2 linked regions of the Arabidopsis thaliana genome follow. The protein of the gene in region 1 interacts with the protein of each later gene in a pairwise test. Each region holds a gene or a part of one and is shown in the gene's direction. Other genes may lie near its edges.

What was found.
Region 2: the proteins of BRC1 (region 1) and TSF interact in a two-hybrid assay, tested with the Arabidopsis thaliana proteins (one study listed by BioGRID).

What each region holds. Positions count from the first base shown.
Region 1 is NC_003074.8:6,379,526-6,387,902, forward strand, and holds BRC1 (TCP family transcription factor), read left to right. Parts: upstream 1-3,763; 5' UTR 3,764-3,901; intron 3,902-3,982; exon of another isoform or gene 3,983-4,011; 5' UTR 4,012-4,243; coding exon 4,244-4,916; intron 4,917-5,020; coding exon 5,021-5,116; intron 5,117-5,209; coding exon 5,210-5,745; 3' UTR 5,746-5,998; coding exon of another isoform or gene 5,999-6,079; 3' UTR 6,080-6,290; downstream 6,291-8,377. UniProt on the Arabidopsis thaliana protein: Transcription factor that prevents axillary bud outgrowth and delays early axillary bud development. Indirectly required for the auxin-induced control of apical dominance.
Region 2 is NC_003075.7:10,998,293-11,006,134, reverse strand, and holds TSF (PEBP (phosphatidylethanolamine-binding protein) family protein), read left to right. Parts: upstream 1-3,124; 5' UTR 3,125-3,169; coding exon 3,170-3,370; intron 3,371-4,015; coding exon 4,016-4,077; intron 4,078-4,601; coding exon 4,602-4,642; intron 4,643-4,900; coding exon 4,901-5,124; 3' UTR 5,125-5,364; downstream 5,365-7,842. Other genes in the region: LSD1 zinc finger family protein, read right to left, coding at 1-61, 162-301, 533-578, 674-705, 791-895, 985-1,108. UniProt on the Arabidopsis thaliana protein: May form complexes with phosphorylated ligands by interfering with kinases and their effectors.

The sequences.
Region 1 (8,377 bases):
AAATGTGGTGTTGTCAAATCTCCTTAACTTAAGCGTGAAAGTAGAAACATAGGCTATCTCTATCCCTAAACCTCAAAGAAGCTCTACATCAACTTGTTACTCATCCCATTAAGCTTGTCGCGATAATTTGTTCGATTCGCTAAGAAATAATATTTGATATAGAACCATTTCTCTTCATTCCTGTAAACGAAAGTGAGATAACCAACTTAAAATTTATGATGTATTTTACAAAAGGCGATTGTAATTGAATTATTAATAAAATCGTTTGAACCGAGATAGTATGTTTAGACTAACGTTTTAATAAACGTTTCAAGCTGTTTAAAAAAAAAATTAGAGGATGATTTTCATAATTCTATTTCAGACTTATTAGTTGAAATTTTGTGACTAATTGAAAAAAAAAATTGGTGACGCTTTATTCAGAAATTTTGTGGCGACATTTGAATTTCTAGTATACCTACACAAATTTGTAAAGTAGCAATCTTTTCTTTTCTTAGAGAATTATTATTTAATTTCGTTGTCGTCCAAACAAGAAAATTCTAGATTCGTTTTTTGTGATCTCGAGAATTTTAGGAAAAAAAAACTTTTTTTTTTGGGGGCAAATGAAAAAAAATAACTAAAATGAAGAATATGAAAAGGAAGAAAAGTCAATATTGAGTATGCCTGTGAAATTAAAAAAGTGGAGACAAACACATAATTTTCCAGACACATTTCCATGAAAGGAAATTGCGCGAATGAATGGTAATCTAAAAGAGCATTGACTCTCTTTGCTATATATAGAAAATGATTCATTATCAACCTAAGAACCACACAAATACCAAAAGAAAAAAAAAGTTGACAACCCATTATACAAAGTAAAAATAAATTTTGTACTTTGAGAATGATGATAATGAGTGACTGAGATTTGTAACCAACAACTTTGGCAATAGATAGATAATATAACACATAATGAAAGCACTCAGGGCATCAATGCCAAACTTTTGTAAGGAAAAAAAAAAAGATTGAAAGACTAACCAAAGATTGAAACTTAAATTTTGATTCTCACTAATAAACAACTTAAAATTGTTATTAAAAGAAACAAACTCAAAATTGGTGATATGATATATGTTGTTGTCTTCTTCATGGGTTATTAGAAAGAAGAACTGAAAGCAACCTTAGAAGAAGCCAGCGAGTCCAACCATTATAGTCATGTGGTCCTCCTGATAATTGCAGGCCTAGAGATAGAGAGAGAGGGAAGAGAGATAAAGAAGAAAGAGCATGGGATGTGGTGGATAATTAGGCGGAGAAGGCGGCATGTATAAATGGAAAGAGTGGATAACAATGGATGACCAAAATAGGAGTTTTTATTTACAATGATAGTGTTTCATCTTTGCACGTAACTCCTAAGTTTGTACTTTACCTACGTGCATGTATATAGATGTGGATTAGTGACTTTTATCTCTTGTTAGTTATTTCTAAAAACATGCATCACATCACTTAACACAGCTGACAAGGTCAACATAACTACCTAATTAATAAACTCTTAACGACCGTTAACCGTATTAACTTCTAACTTCTAATATTGCTTTTAAGCGAAGAGATATTTCTAAAATATGTTTTTTTCACAAAAATACAAGGGAAAATAATGATACAAAAGCTTACAAGATAAGCACGAGAGAGAAAAGAGGTTCTCTTTTTAGCGAAAGCGACTTCTAAGTTATAACATAAGTATGAGAGAGTGTGTGTGTGAGAGAGAGAGTCAAAAGAAAATAAAAGATTGGTCGGTCATGCAATACTGAACAGAGAGGCAAAGCTTTTTTCTTTTCTTCCTAAAATTATTGCAGCCTTCTTTTCTTAGGGCTTCACACAGCCACGTGCATTCCTCCAATTTGAAAATGAAACTTTGTATTTTAACTCTCCTATAGCAAAAAGATTATTTTCTCCATATCATGAAAATCAATGTCTTAGAGCTAGGAAGAAGGATTTTGTGATATGAGACCAAAAATTCCAATCCGAGTTTTGATCTTGTTTTCAAGTTTTGTATCACAAATATGAAAACAAAGAGATGTTTTTTGTTTCTTTACATAAAAAAAAAGAAGAGAAATTCTTTTTTTTTTTTTTGGTAAAAGAAGAGAAGAGAAATTCGTCCAATGCGTTCGTCAGTTTTGCTATTTGAACTCAATTGGATTCCAATAAGTCTACGTAAGAAAAAGGAGCTACCCTTTTTTACTAATAATTTACAGAAGAGGATGTTGCATAACAATCAATTTAGAACAATCATCTATGTCTATACTTAATTTTGAGAAACATCCATGATGGATATAAATTGTTATAACAGTGTTTAAATTTATTTGATATTCTCAATAATATATATATATATATATATATTATAATATAAGAATTCATATTTTATACTTTAAAATACAATTAATAATATTTTACAACAATAAATAAATGTATTTAAACCTAAAAGTTGGCACAAGAAAATGGAATTAAAAAATATTACTGATCTGTATGGTTTTCTTGAGGGATCGCCATGATTGATGATTCAGTTTTTACAACCCATTCAGTTCGATAGATTATCTAATATAAGATTTTTTTGTCAAATATTTTTTTTGATCTAGTATAAGTTTTTTATTTATGAAACAACAAATAAAAGATTTGGACTTAAGAATGGATAGAAGTTTTGGAATAACAATATTTGTGTCCTATGTATAAAAATTATTAGATAGAGATACAAAAATTGTTATCTGAACAAATGCAATATATCAATAGTTAGTGTACATATGAAGTCATAAGAATTACACCAAAATACTCTTTAAAAATATGAAAAAGTTGTTTATAGTGTTTTGAAAAATACCACCAAACAAAACTTTATAATTTTATTTGACCTTAGTTCTTTCTTACGGTGAAATGCAAATCAATATTTTATATATATTTTAATTATATATTCCTTGTTCCTATTTCCTTTAGACATAATCTAAAATCTTCTAACTTTTCTTCTATTAATCCTTTTCCAAATAAAGGCATAACTAATAATAAAATTTATCCTTAATTTTATCTCATATTTATTTCTATTCAACTTTTTATTTTGATCTTCTTAATATGCAAACATACATTTATATGTCTATTTTTGGGTGAAATTAAATCTCATTACCTTTTATTTCTTTCATTTAGTTATACCTTGATCTTTATCTACTAAAAATATTAAAAAATATAATCAATGTGGAAAAATCTATCTAACTAAATTTTAAATGTCATTTCAATAATTTAAATAAAGATCTGTTTATTTAAAGTGAAATGTTAATGTAATTGGTAAATATATGTTCTGTCAAGAAACTGTAATATTAATTATTCTAGCTAAATCCTAAAGTTATAACATATATTCTATAGTAAATACAGTGAAATATTTTATATTGAATTAACTATTTTTAGGCATCTTTTAGTGCATGCTATTAATTTTAAAGATATATACAATCTTTGATTAGTTGAAATATAGCTGTCAACAATTTAATATCTATCAAATAATTATACTGAGTTCTTATCTACATATTAGTAATGAACTATCTCAAAGAAATATAAGAACATAAACAAACACAAGGTCCTAATTATAGAAAAAAATCTTGATAATCAAATAAAACGAACATCTATTATCACATTTTCACAAAAAACAAAAACGAATATATTTTTATCATGCCGAAGCTAGGAATTAAGAAAAATATATAAACAAAATAAATGCTTTTTCAAAGGCTTATATGTTGTTCCTTCCCCCATAATGATCTCTTTGCCTCTCTCTCCATATAGCTCTCCCTCTCTCTCTCTTTTTCTCTCTCTTTCTCTCCATTCTAGTTCATAGCACATAGACTCATTTAAGTACGTCGCCTGTGTTGTCTTTCTCAACCATTAGTCCTTTGCTTCGATAAAGGTATTCTCTCTCTACACATTTAGACACACACATAGATTCTCTAGAACAAAGACATATTGTACTATCTGACTAATCACTATTACTGCTCTTTTTTTTTCTTGATTTTGCAGGCTAAGGAAAAAAAGAAATCTCTCTTTCTAATTTTCTTGTTTTCATTTTGGTTGAGACTTGAGATCAATGTCTTCGTCATTGGAACAGTAACCTTTCTCTTTGATTCAAACTTTCTTTCATTTTCTTCTCTTTTTTCTTGTGTGTCTGAAGAAGATTATAGTACAAGTGTCATTCTCAAAATTTTGTCTTAGGGTTTTTTAATTTTGTTACTTCAAAAACCCCTAAAAAGGCATGAACAACAACATTTTCAGTACTACTACCACCATCAATGACGACTACATGTTATTCCCTTATAATGACCATTATTCCTCACAACCATTGCTCCCTTTTAGCCCTTCTTCTTCCATTAACGACATCTTGATTCACTCCACCTCTAACACATCAAACAATCATCTTGACCATCATCATCAATTCCAACAACCTTCTCCTTTTTCTCACTTCGAATTTGCCCCGGACTGCGCCCTCCTCACCTCTTTCCACCCAGAAAACAATGGCCATGATGATAACCAAACCATCCCAAACGACAATCATCATCCATCACTTCACTTTCCCTTGAACAACACCATTGTAGAACAACCCACTGAGCCCTCGGAAACTATAAACCTTATAGAAGATTCCCAGAGAATCTCAACTTCTCAAGACCCAAAAATGAAAAAAGCCAAGAAACCCAGCAGAACGGACAGGCACAGCAAGATCAAAACGGCCAAAGGGACACGAGATCGTAGGATGAGACTCTCGCTAGATGTCGCCAAAGAGTTGTTTGGCTTACAAGACATGCTTGGATTTGACAAAGCCAGCAAAACCGTTGAATGGTTGCTTACACAAGCAAAACCTGAGATCATAAAGATCGCGACAACCCTTTCTCACCATGGCTGCTTCAGCAGCGGCGATGAGTCTCATATCCGTAAGTATCCATTCTTTTCTAGTTTTAAGTCTATTCAAGTTTTCAACTTCTATGAATTTTTTTATATCATAATCTGAAAATTGTAAATTTCCTAATTAATTAAGGACCGGTGTTAGGATCCATGGACACATCTTCTGATCTATGTGAACTTGCATCCATGTGGACGGTCGACGATAGAGGCAGCAATACTAACACGACCGGTACGACCTTAACCGTTGCCTTTCTGATTTACAATTATATATAGAGTACTTTCTATCAAAATGTTACAAAAGATAAATTATCTTATACATTAGAAACAAGAGGAAACAAGGTCGATGGGAGATCGATGAGAGGGAAGAGAAAGAGGCCAGAACCGCGAACGCCCATTTTAAAGAAGTTGTCCAAGGAGGAGAGAGCGAAAGCTAGAGAAAGAGCAAAGGGTAGAACAATGGAGAAAATGATGATGAAGATGAAAGGAAGATCACAATTAGTGAAAGTTGTGGAAGAAGACGCTCATGATCATGGTGAGATAATAAAGAATAATAATAGAAGCCAAGTGAATCGGAGTTCTTTTGAGATGACACACTGCGAAGACAAGATCGAAGAACTTTGCAAGAACGATCGTTTTGCAGTTTGCAACGAATTTATCATGAATAAGAAAGATCACATTTCAAATGAATCTTATGACTTAGTCAACTACAAACCGAACTCATCATTCCCAGTGATTAACCACCATCGCAGCCAAGGAGCAGCTAATTCCATTGAGGTACCTTATTTATATCTACGAGTCACATTTATAATTTTTATGAGTTTTTTTCCAATGGTTTTATCTAAAGCTATACACAGTTAATTCAAGTTTTAGAGGTAGGGTATATCAAATTCAATGACACTAATGCACCACCATCGATTAATTAATGCTATATATAGTTTAATTAGAAGTTAGTTTTTGTGTTTTGTGGATTGGTACTTGGTTATTACTATCTAGTTCCACATCAGCGATTCAAAGGCGCCGGTTTTTTTTAACTGACTTGGTTATACTATTATGGTTTTTATTGTTCAAATTTTCATCGATTTTTTTTTTTTTGGGGCTATGTACCTTGCAGCAGCATCAGTTTACGGATCTTCATTACTCCTTCGGCGCGAAACCAAGAGACCTCATGCACAACTATCAAAACATGTATTGAAACTGATTTCATTTAACATTAATATCTCAAATTAATGATATATAGTTTGGTGAGAGAGATATGTTAATCCATCTTATGTTTTTTTTTCTTAACATCGTAATTAATCATGTTTATATGAAGGCTTTTTCGTCATTTTAGTGTCAAATATTAAACCTATGTGAAGAAATTAATGCAATTTGTATAATATTTTGTTTTCATAGTTCGAGTGGATTTTTAACTGATATGTATCCTTTAAACGTTGTTTGTTAATATTATCTCTGTGTTGTTAAGTTTGTCTATCGTTTGCTTTTAGGAATACAACAAATGACAAAAACAAAAGGAAACGTGACAAACTGATGACAAAATTATATAAGTTAAGATTCATGATTCAATACATTCTCAATCTATATTCCTTCTGAGACCTGGACGTCAGTTCTAGTAATCAGGCAATTCAAAACCTTTCAAGCCTATTAAGTTAAATGCGATCGACAAACGTATCGGGTATCACTAGGCTTGTGATCTATGTATAAGTGGGTTAACGTACATTGTATACAGACAAGTTCATATATGCGTAATTTGTGTAATATATTACGTGGAAACTTTATCATTTTCAAATATATTTTTTATAACTGATGTGAAGCTATTTGCTTTTTCCCTTAACCAATGATAAGTTCTGCTCTAATAAATCGAAATGTCTTGGGAGTAGTAAGTTACTTCTCTATTGTGATAAGTTTGAGTTACTTAATTTGGAGAGTTTGGTTTACTCAGTTTGGTATATCATGTTCCCTAACTAGAGTTTCCATGATAAATATTAATTATTATAAACAAATTAAAATTATATACAGTACTTCTAGATAGATCCTACAAGGGGTTAAAAGTTATGAAACCTGATGATATGTTGCACTAATTAAGCTGTTGGTCTTTGTAGTTTGTATTCCACATTTATGCTATAATAGGTTGCTATCAAACCTTGGGTGGTCGTTGTTGTTGTAGACCGGCGTGGGAAAATGTCAAATCATCCAAAATTACACAACTGTGAGCTTCAGACCACACATGCCGGTATATTCTACCCTTGAAATATACATAAATATATGTGTACATATATATATATATATATATATATATATTATGTTAAAGTTAATTTGCATAAAGAGAAATTTAAAAAGGTTTTGTGAATATAAGACATTAATTTTTTTTAAGCATTAAGCCATTTTCCAATTAAAATAATAGTTGTGTCTTTATGATTTTTATGAAAAAAACTTTTTTCTATGATAAATTTACAAAATGCATATTTTCACAGTTCTCTTATGAAACCTCTTTTTTGTGAAAATCTCATTATGTTTGTTTTCCTATATTAGCTACCTTGGTTCCCAACTTTTTCTTTGGTCTATGATTTGGCGTTTGCTCCTAAGAACGCACACATGCGTCCATATCACTAGAAAAAAAAAAACTAGAAAAAAAAAACTACTAAAATATCTAGTAAAATTCATCTACAGCCTCATAAAGTTTCGTTATTTATCAGAATTAAAATTTTATATAGGCATCTGATACTAAGACATTGACTGTAATATATATATATACTAATATCAGATGTGGAAACTTGATACATAAGAGCTATTATGGAACTTTTTTGGTTATCAATAAAAAAATTGAGCCTCTATGGATGACATAATTATTAAAGTAACTAAACTAGAAATTATAATTTGAATTACAATGCTTTATAAAAGTTGAGTCAAGATGTTTGAATTGTGTCTTAGTTAATTTGCAAACACACATGATGATATACATGGATCCATTAATATTACATCTTAGCCCCAAACATAAAAGACAATGTGGGGAGGATTAATTTAGTGTTTTGTTTTTAATGTGAAGTTTGATTTGATTGTACTAGTTCCTAGACAATTAATTAAGTACTGGAGGAAGAGATTATAGCGCAGTAAGGGATTAAAGAAGTCCCAAACACGAAGTGTCCAAATATTAGGAAGGAATATATATGGAAAATGTAAAAACTACTTCAATGACATTGAGATCATTGAAATGACAAAAGTAAGTTAAAAGAATAAAGAGACATTTGAGAAAGAGAAAAATGAACAAGTACACAAAGAAAAAGAAAGGAAACAATATTTCTATAATAAAAATTATCAACAACTTCATAACATAACTTTTTTGATACACCGGTCTAATATGTTTGGATTTTATCAATAAGTCGACAAAAACGTATGCTTATGTTTCTATGAAGTCATGTGCAAGGCAATCCCAAACATGAAAACACAATGAGAATCCAATTGTCTTTGACTCGATCAGGTCGAATTCTTTTTT
Region 2 (7,842 bases), on another chromosome or scaffold:
AGGGGGGACAAGCTGTTCCATTTGGCCGGTTAGTTGGGAGAGGTACCCTTCCATTGCTCATCTAAGGATGCAAAATGAATCAGAAATGAAAATTTCCAACAGAAAGATCTCTATACTTAACTCAACCATGCAGAGGTGGCTTAATAGATAGGAATAATCACATTAACGTTAGTTACGAATTGACAAACAGCGCATTTGACGGATGATGCACCGTAAGGATACATGAGGGTCGTCCGACAATGCCCACAATTGATCTGCGCAACCTGACTGGAAGGAGCATGGGCAACCTGATTGGAGTGCGCTGTCGATTTCAAAAAAGACACGCACAGATTCAGAAAACAAGCAATGTTAATGCTAGAAAAATCCAAGAAATACTAATGAACGAAGTAATCAGCAATGTTCTTAAGCAGTCATGGATAAATGATAATCATACAGCTAAATGACAACAGCTTAGACGCTAATTAAAGATAAGAATCTAATGGTAGATCAAACAAAACAATAATAAACCCTACTAGCTCTAACAAGTAGTTACCTAGTCCACCGGGACCATCTAAAAGCTTTGTTTTAAGTACTTTCAGCTGCTTTACAAATCCCAGATATTTTCAGAATTCAGATTCATATACATCTTTGGGAAAAGTGGAAATACGTTACGTAAGCATCATCTCCACAGAACAATGTTATCAAACAAAAGTGTGAAAGAAGATTCTAAAGGACTAAAAGACCTTATAAAGCAATATAATACATGGTCTTTAAAAGGATTGATATGGATGTCACGATATTATTAATATACCTGGCACAAGGTTCGTAGTTTGACAGCAAGAGCATCTTACGCTACTAGCCCCACGCGTATACATAAGCATTGTTCTACAACCACCACATATAATGTGTGCCATGTCTGTATTCAGAATCAGAACCCAAGTTATAATACAATTGCAGAGCATATTAACCTCATCCTCAATTCAAATTCAACAAAGAAATCGATACCGTGAGGTGGAGGAGGAGGAGGAACCATGTTGATAGTGTTACATAACGCACAACGCACATTAGATGCTCCTCTAGGATACATCAATAAATTCCTACAACCATGACACACCAGCTGGTCCTGCATATCTGCTACTTTCATCCAAACACACACAAATTGCTTCAAAACAAGACCCACACAGATGAAACCCTAAACATTTCACAATACTTAGTCATTGCAAGGAAGCAATTGGAGATTCAAATACCTAAAAACTCACCTGATTAACAAAAAGAGCTGATTTTGGAACGAAACCCAAATCCAATTCAAAGCCAAAAACTTCTGCATCCAAATCAAAACAAGAATTGTGTGTTGAATCAAACAAACAAACAAGGACAATGATGAGATTACAGAATTGGCGAAAATTGAAAAAAAGGAACAAACTTTGGAGCTTGTTCTTACCGATTGGAGAAGGGTAAGGAATCGAATCCAAAACCCGCGAAAGCTAGAGCGATGATATGCAGAAAATCCAATCCAAATTGAGGAGATAGACAATAGATTTCGATTTTTCTCTCTCTCTATCTCCAAAATCTCAATGCCCGGATTTATCTCTCTGTTTTTCGTAATTTACGCTTCTTTTTTTTTTACATGACGCGTAAGGGTTTTTTTCTCGGTCATAAACGCGTATATACAAACGCAGCGATTGGCTTCTGCTAATTAAATATGAATTTTTATGCCAAGCATACGTCCATAGATCAATTAATTATGGGTAAAAATATATTTTCTAATTTTCTGCAAATGGTGTAATAATATTAAATTATTTTTTGTCTACCCCTTTGAACCAATGAAAATTCTATAATATTTGTGTGTTAAATGAAAAATCGTACATGCTGCCAAACAAAAAATTCATAATAAATAAATGAAAATCGCATATAAACTTTAATCAAATGTTCTGAACATAACGTCCCACGTATGTTTTCGTTTGCTTATTCATATCGGAAGAAGAGTAATTTGCGCATTTCATATTACAAATTGGGGAAATGGACAATAAATTGGAGAGCAAAAATCATAGCCATCTAACCTCACACACTTTTCTTTTTGTTAGGTACCAGAAATATCAAGAATCACTGAGCTAATTGTATTCTCATGACTTTTTGTGGTCAGCAAATGAAACTGGTCTGCAATAGTTTTTAGAAGTCTTTATCGGTTTATTTCTCATGTGTTTTGTCAGAAATTTCTTAGAAATTTTTGTCTTCCAAACTTGGGGAACTAAATTTGTTTGGAGTGTAAGAATACACGGTTGAGCTTTTAGGTAATACACTTGTTTTTGAAAGGTATAATGAATTTTAAAAAAATTACTTTATCAACATTTAAGATTTGGAGACAATTTTGAAATCACGTTTGAAAACGAATTTTTTGGCCAATTGTTCACTTTTCTGTCGTTATTATACTTCTGTTACCTTGTGTCTATTTGTTAATTTACTTGTTTTATTTGATTTACTCCATTGTTTTAAAAGTTTTACTGGTTTGTTTTGTTAAATTGATATTTTTGATGGTATTAATTAAGTTTAGTACTACATTAAGAAAAGAAAAAAAAGAGTCTAGTACGTATGTACACACCAACCAGATATGTGAACAATTATGGCGTCAATTTATCTGGAGCATATATACTTTTATATGATGGTTTAGGTTGAAGGAGTTATTCTAAAATGCATTAACATCATACATAATCGGTGTAATGTAGTGTCCTTAACTATTTAAATGAGTGACATGTGACGCAAAATGCGTGACGTACGCAAATATGCAGCATATTATATGCTTGTGACATTATTTTAAATAGTTCATGAAGTTACAATGATAAGTCAGAATAAATTACATACTAGTGGCTAGCAAGAAACAAGTGGATGATGTATAATTTGGAATATGATTATTTCTGTTTTATACTGGTGGGTTTTGGAATAAGAATACTATAAATTTAGAAAAAAGGAAAGAAAAAAAAAACATGAATTATAAGTGATATACGTACGTTGAACGAGTTGTAGATTCTCGAAACTATACACGAAAAGACCCTGGTAATGATTTCATTGGAGAGAATAAAGCTAAATAGCTAATTATTGCAATTCCCAAAACGTTATATAAAGAATAGCAAGTAAGGGTTCATAAGGTAAGAAGCAAAACATTTGATTGAGATACTTGAGATCCAAGATAAATATGTCTTTAAGTCGTAGAGATCCTCTTGTGGTCGGCAGTGTTGTTGGAGATGTTCTTGATCCTTTCACGAGGTTGGTCTCTCTTAAGGTCACTTATGGCCATAGAGAGGTTACTAATGGCTTGGATCTAAGGCCTTCTCAAGTTCTGAACAAACCAATAGTGGAGATTGGAGGAGACGACTTCAGAAATTTCTACACCTTGGTGATCTTCTCTCCTTCATTCCTCTTATCTTCATTGATTTAGTTCCTCGTAGCTCACTCTTTCGTTTTCGTAAGCTCCATATATTGACGAAGAAACCTTAGATATATCCAAATTTAAGCGTAACTAGATTTGATCATTCTTTTCTTTCGTAGCCTCATCTATATACCTGCTGCGTTTCCTCTAACTTCTTGCATGCATAACTGTTATTGGTTTGATTATTATTTTAAATCAATTTTGAATCTTTCTCGATTATATATATTACGTTTTCAAGAGACGGTTAACTTGATTTTGTTTCGCTTTTATTTTTATTTTAGTTTTTTTATTCTAGGATACATACCTTTAGAAAAGCATAAATATCTTAATTGACACTTATTTTAACGACTTTTGAATCTGAATAGTAAAGCCAGTATTTTTAGATACCCTTATATTAATGGAAAATGTTACTATTACCTTTTTCTAATTTAAGCTTCTTCGTCTTTACTTCTTTTTCTATTAACTTTTGGTTAACTTCTTCGTCTTAATGTGTGTTATCACTTTTCAAGAGTTAAAAAAAAAAAATCAAACTCATGATTTAATTTCTTGATTGCTTTAATATATTCATAATCGATCTTCTCTCTTATACGGTTGTTGATGGGTTTAATAAAGGTTATGGTGGATCCAGATGTGCCGAGTCCAAGCAACCCTCACCAACGAGAATATCTCCACTGGTTTGTATCATATCTCTTCATTTCATTTAACTTAACTTTAGATCGTGCATCACACTTATTTTCGAGTATAAATAGAAAACAAATAGGTAAGGTATATATGGGAATTAGAAAAAGACTTTAAAATTTAGAGATTCAATACATATCTCAAGTGACACACAAAAAACGATATTTTAGATTTTTACTAATAATAGAAGGGGACATACAGAATCAACTTTAAGAGAGCAGCAACTTGTCAAGAAAAAAGATGTCTTACGTATACATCCAACATAGAGACTTTAAACAGGAATAGAACATGACTTTGTGGTCAGAGTTAGTTTTTGTTTTAGTGTGTGTGTGTGTCATGTTATATCATAGCTTGCACGCAACAAACGTCTATTCTTCATAGTCTGACCTTTTCTACATGCTTTAGACGAAACTTTCAAAAACTTTGATGCATGCTTTGTTTTTTAGTCGAATTTAGTTAACTATCTGCAGGTTGCACTGCACCATATCTTTAACTTTAATGGATAATACTCTCGTTACAGGTTGGTGACTGATATACCTGCCACCACTGGAAATGCCTTTGGTAAGTTTAAGTAACTCTGTATAGATACATTAGGTAAGATAGATAAAACTCATATCACCAAGCTTAGGCTTTGAATAGTGTTAGCATGGAGCATATATATTCTTAAGAAGATATCTATTTTTATATAGCCTTCTTAATTTATATGTATGTTGCAACAATCAAATCTTTAATCTATATAAAATAAGCGACACAAAACACTTACCTAGTGGACAAATTAGGAAGGGCTAATTAATATTTGTGTTTATGATTGTTTATCAGGCAATGAGGTGGTGTGCTACGAGAGTCCACGTCCCCCCTCGGGAATTCATCGTATTGTGTTGGTATTGTTCCGGCAACTCGGAAGACAAACGGTTTATGCACCGGGGTGGCGCCAACAGTTCAACACTCGTGAGTTTGCTGAGATCTACAATCTTGGTCTTCCTGTGGCTGCCTCTTACTTCAACTGCCAGAGGGAGAATGGCTGTGGGGGAAGAAGAACGTAGATGCGTACCTACTTACGTTAACTAATAATCTAATCGTATAATATTCCCTTAATGAAGTATTTAAGCATCTATGTCAATGTAATAAGAATTTAAAGATACGAGCTAAAAAAAATGATGCATATGCTGACATCGATGTAAAGTAGTTTACACTTTTAATGTAATAACTAGGTTTTAACCCGCGGTACACCGCGAGACTATTTTGTTTTTTTAAGAATAAAAATATAATTTGTTTAGTCGATTAAAAATATATGATTTAATATTTTGTATTTTCTGAATATACAACTCTTATATCTGTATATTATTTAGTATACAATTACTATGTTTAACTTTTACTGTTTAAAATATAAGAACAATAACGTACAGTTCATTAAGTTAAAATCTAGATTATAACTAAATAATTTAAAATTTAATTATATTTTTATTTTATAATTGTTTTGTTTAGTATTTAAGATAATATAATTATATTTTGATTGTTATATTTAGGACTTCACACGTGGTATACCGTTTCGTATTACTATCGACTCAAACCCGTCCTACCATCTAATCCCGTTCAGTGAAACTAAACATATCTAATGGATTTCACCCGTGCTATACCGTCTCGTATTACTGTCGACCCAAAACCCGTCCTACCATCTAACCACGTTCAGTGAAATTAAACATTTTGTTTCTGTTATTTTTGTTTAAATAATACTTTAATTTAAAAGATCTATAATTTAAATTAATTTAAAAATTTATTTCAAATGGTTATTTAATTGTTATAAAATCCATACATTATAATATTGTAAACATGTCCCACCATCTAATCCAGTTCGGTAAAATTAAACATTATTACTTTTTGTTCTAATAATATTTTTATTAAAAGATTTATAATTCAAATCAATTTAAAAGTGTTCTTTTGAAATAGTTATTTAATTTTATAGATTTCATATATAATATATATTCTTAACGTTTTTTCGTTAAATATTCTAAATATTTTATAAACTTTAAATAACTATAATATTTATCTTTAATAAAATATAATATTAATAAAGTCCTAAAATTTCTTTTTTTTAAAAGTAATTAGAATTGATGGAGATATATTAGATAAGGAAATGCTAATAATTAAGAATATTAATTAATTGATGATAATTAATGCCAATGGCATTCTTTGTAAATAAGTTCCAACTTGAGGATTTATTTCACAAAATGGTTGCAAAAATGTATATATAGATTGAAGGGAAGAAAGAAATGTGTGTGAGTGTGTCTTTATCTAAAAGAAGTAAGAAATGTGTGTACGAGATTAGGTTACGTACGTGGCTTTCTAGTAAAAGGATCAAAATAAAAAATGAATTTTAGGAAATTTGTATTTCATATAAAATTTGTGGGATGCTTGTCAAAGTGCACTTCGTAAATACACAAATGAAGAAGGTGATTACCTACAATTTTGATTTATTTTATAAATATAGTGTTATATTCTTTTCTTGATTGTGAATCTTGTATCTAATATGGTTATTGAGTAAATCAACCCTAATATTAACCTGAAAAAAGAAAGAACTTTAATAAAACGCATGCAACTATAGTAATAAAACAGAAAAAGAAGTCCGACAAAAACAACAGAAAGTAATATAACTTTTCTTATAGCCAATGGCTTGATGTTCGACCCACGCTCTTTGGCCCACTAGGAGAAGTTGACTCCTTTGTCCACCACATGCGTGGAATAAAATTGGCTTACTATGTGAGAAAAATTAAAGTAAGATAATAATAAATAATGAGTTCACAAAAAAAAAAAAAGTAATAATAAAAAATGAAACATATTAAAAGTGATAATTGCATTTTATAGCATTTTCAACTCATTTTTATTTTTAACTTTATACTCTATTTTTATTTCTATTTCATTCTAACCAATTTCTATTTTTATCTCTAAAATATAGATCTCTATTTTTTCTTTTATATTTAGGGCATCTTCAATGAAGATGGTCTTAAGAAACATTTAGGAGACTTGAATTTCTAATAGTATAATTTTAGATATCAACTAAATGTAGTAATATGGATAAATATAATATGTCAGGTAGTCAACAAATCGATTTATTTTTATCGGTTATTCAGCAAATCGACTAATTTTTATCAGGTATTTATTTTTCCAAATTAAATATAGATAATTAATTTTAATACTCTTAAGGATTAGAGTCGGATCATATAGCAGATATACCAAAATTTGAGAGTACTCCGACCTAAGTGTAACGGCGAAGTTCCATAGTGCCATTGCCTTGAGCCCTTAACAGCTAAAAACATTTCTACTCAGGAATAAGATGAAAGGACACCTTTTTCCACCCTTATCTCTTTTCTCTCTCTCCATTGATCAATTTCACTTTCTACTAGAATGTAATTAGGGTTTAGGTAACCATAAGCACAAGGTTTGGAGAATTCTTCCTGCACTCAAAGAGAAGACAATAACCATAATGAACATTTTCAAGAAAAAGACAAGTTTCTAAAAGGTAAAAGATTTGATTTCTACCCTTGTTTTTTGGATTTTCACATCATGATGGTAAACTGATTTGTCGGCTATAGACTCGGGACTAGATTTTATAGAAGGATTCTGCAAAAAAAAAAAAAAAAAAAAAACACCTTTGACTTTACTTGTGCTTGAACCTGATAGTGTGGAGTGAGAAATTTGCTAGGTTCTTATTTCCGTAATTGAGTGTGAATAGTCTCATAGTTTATTAAGTGAATGTGTGTGTT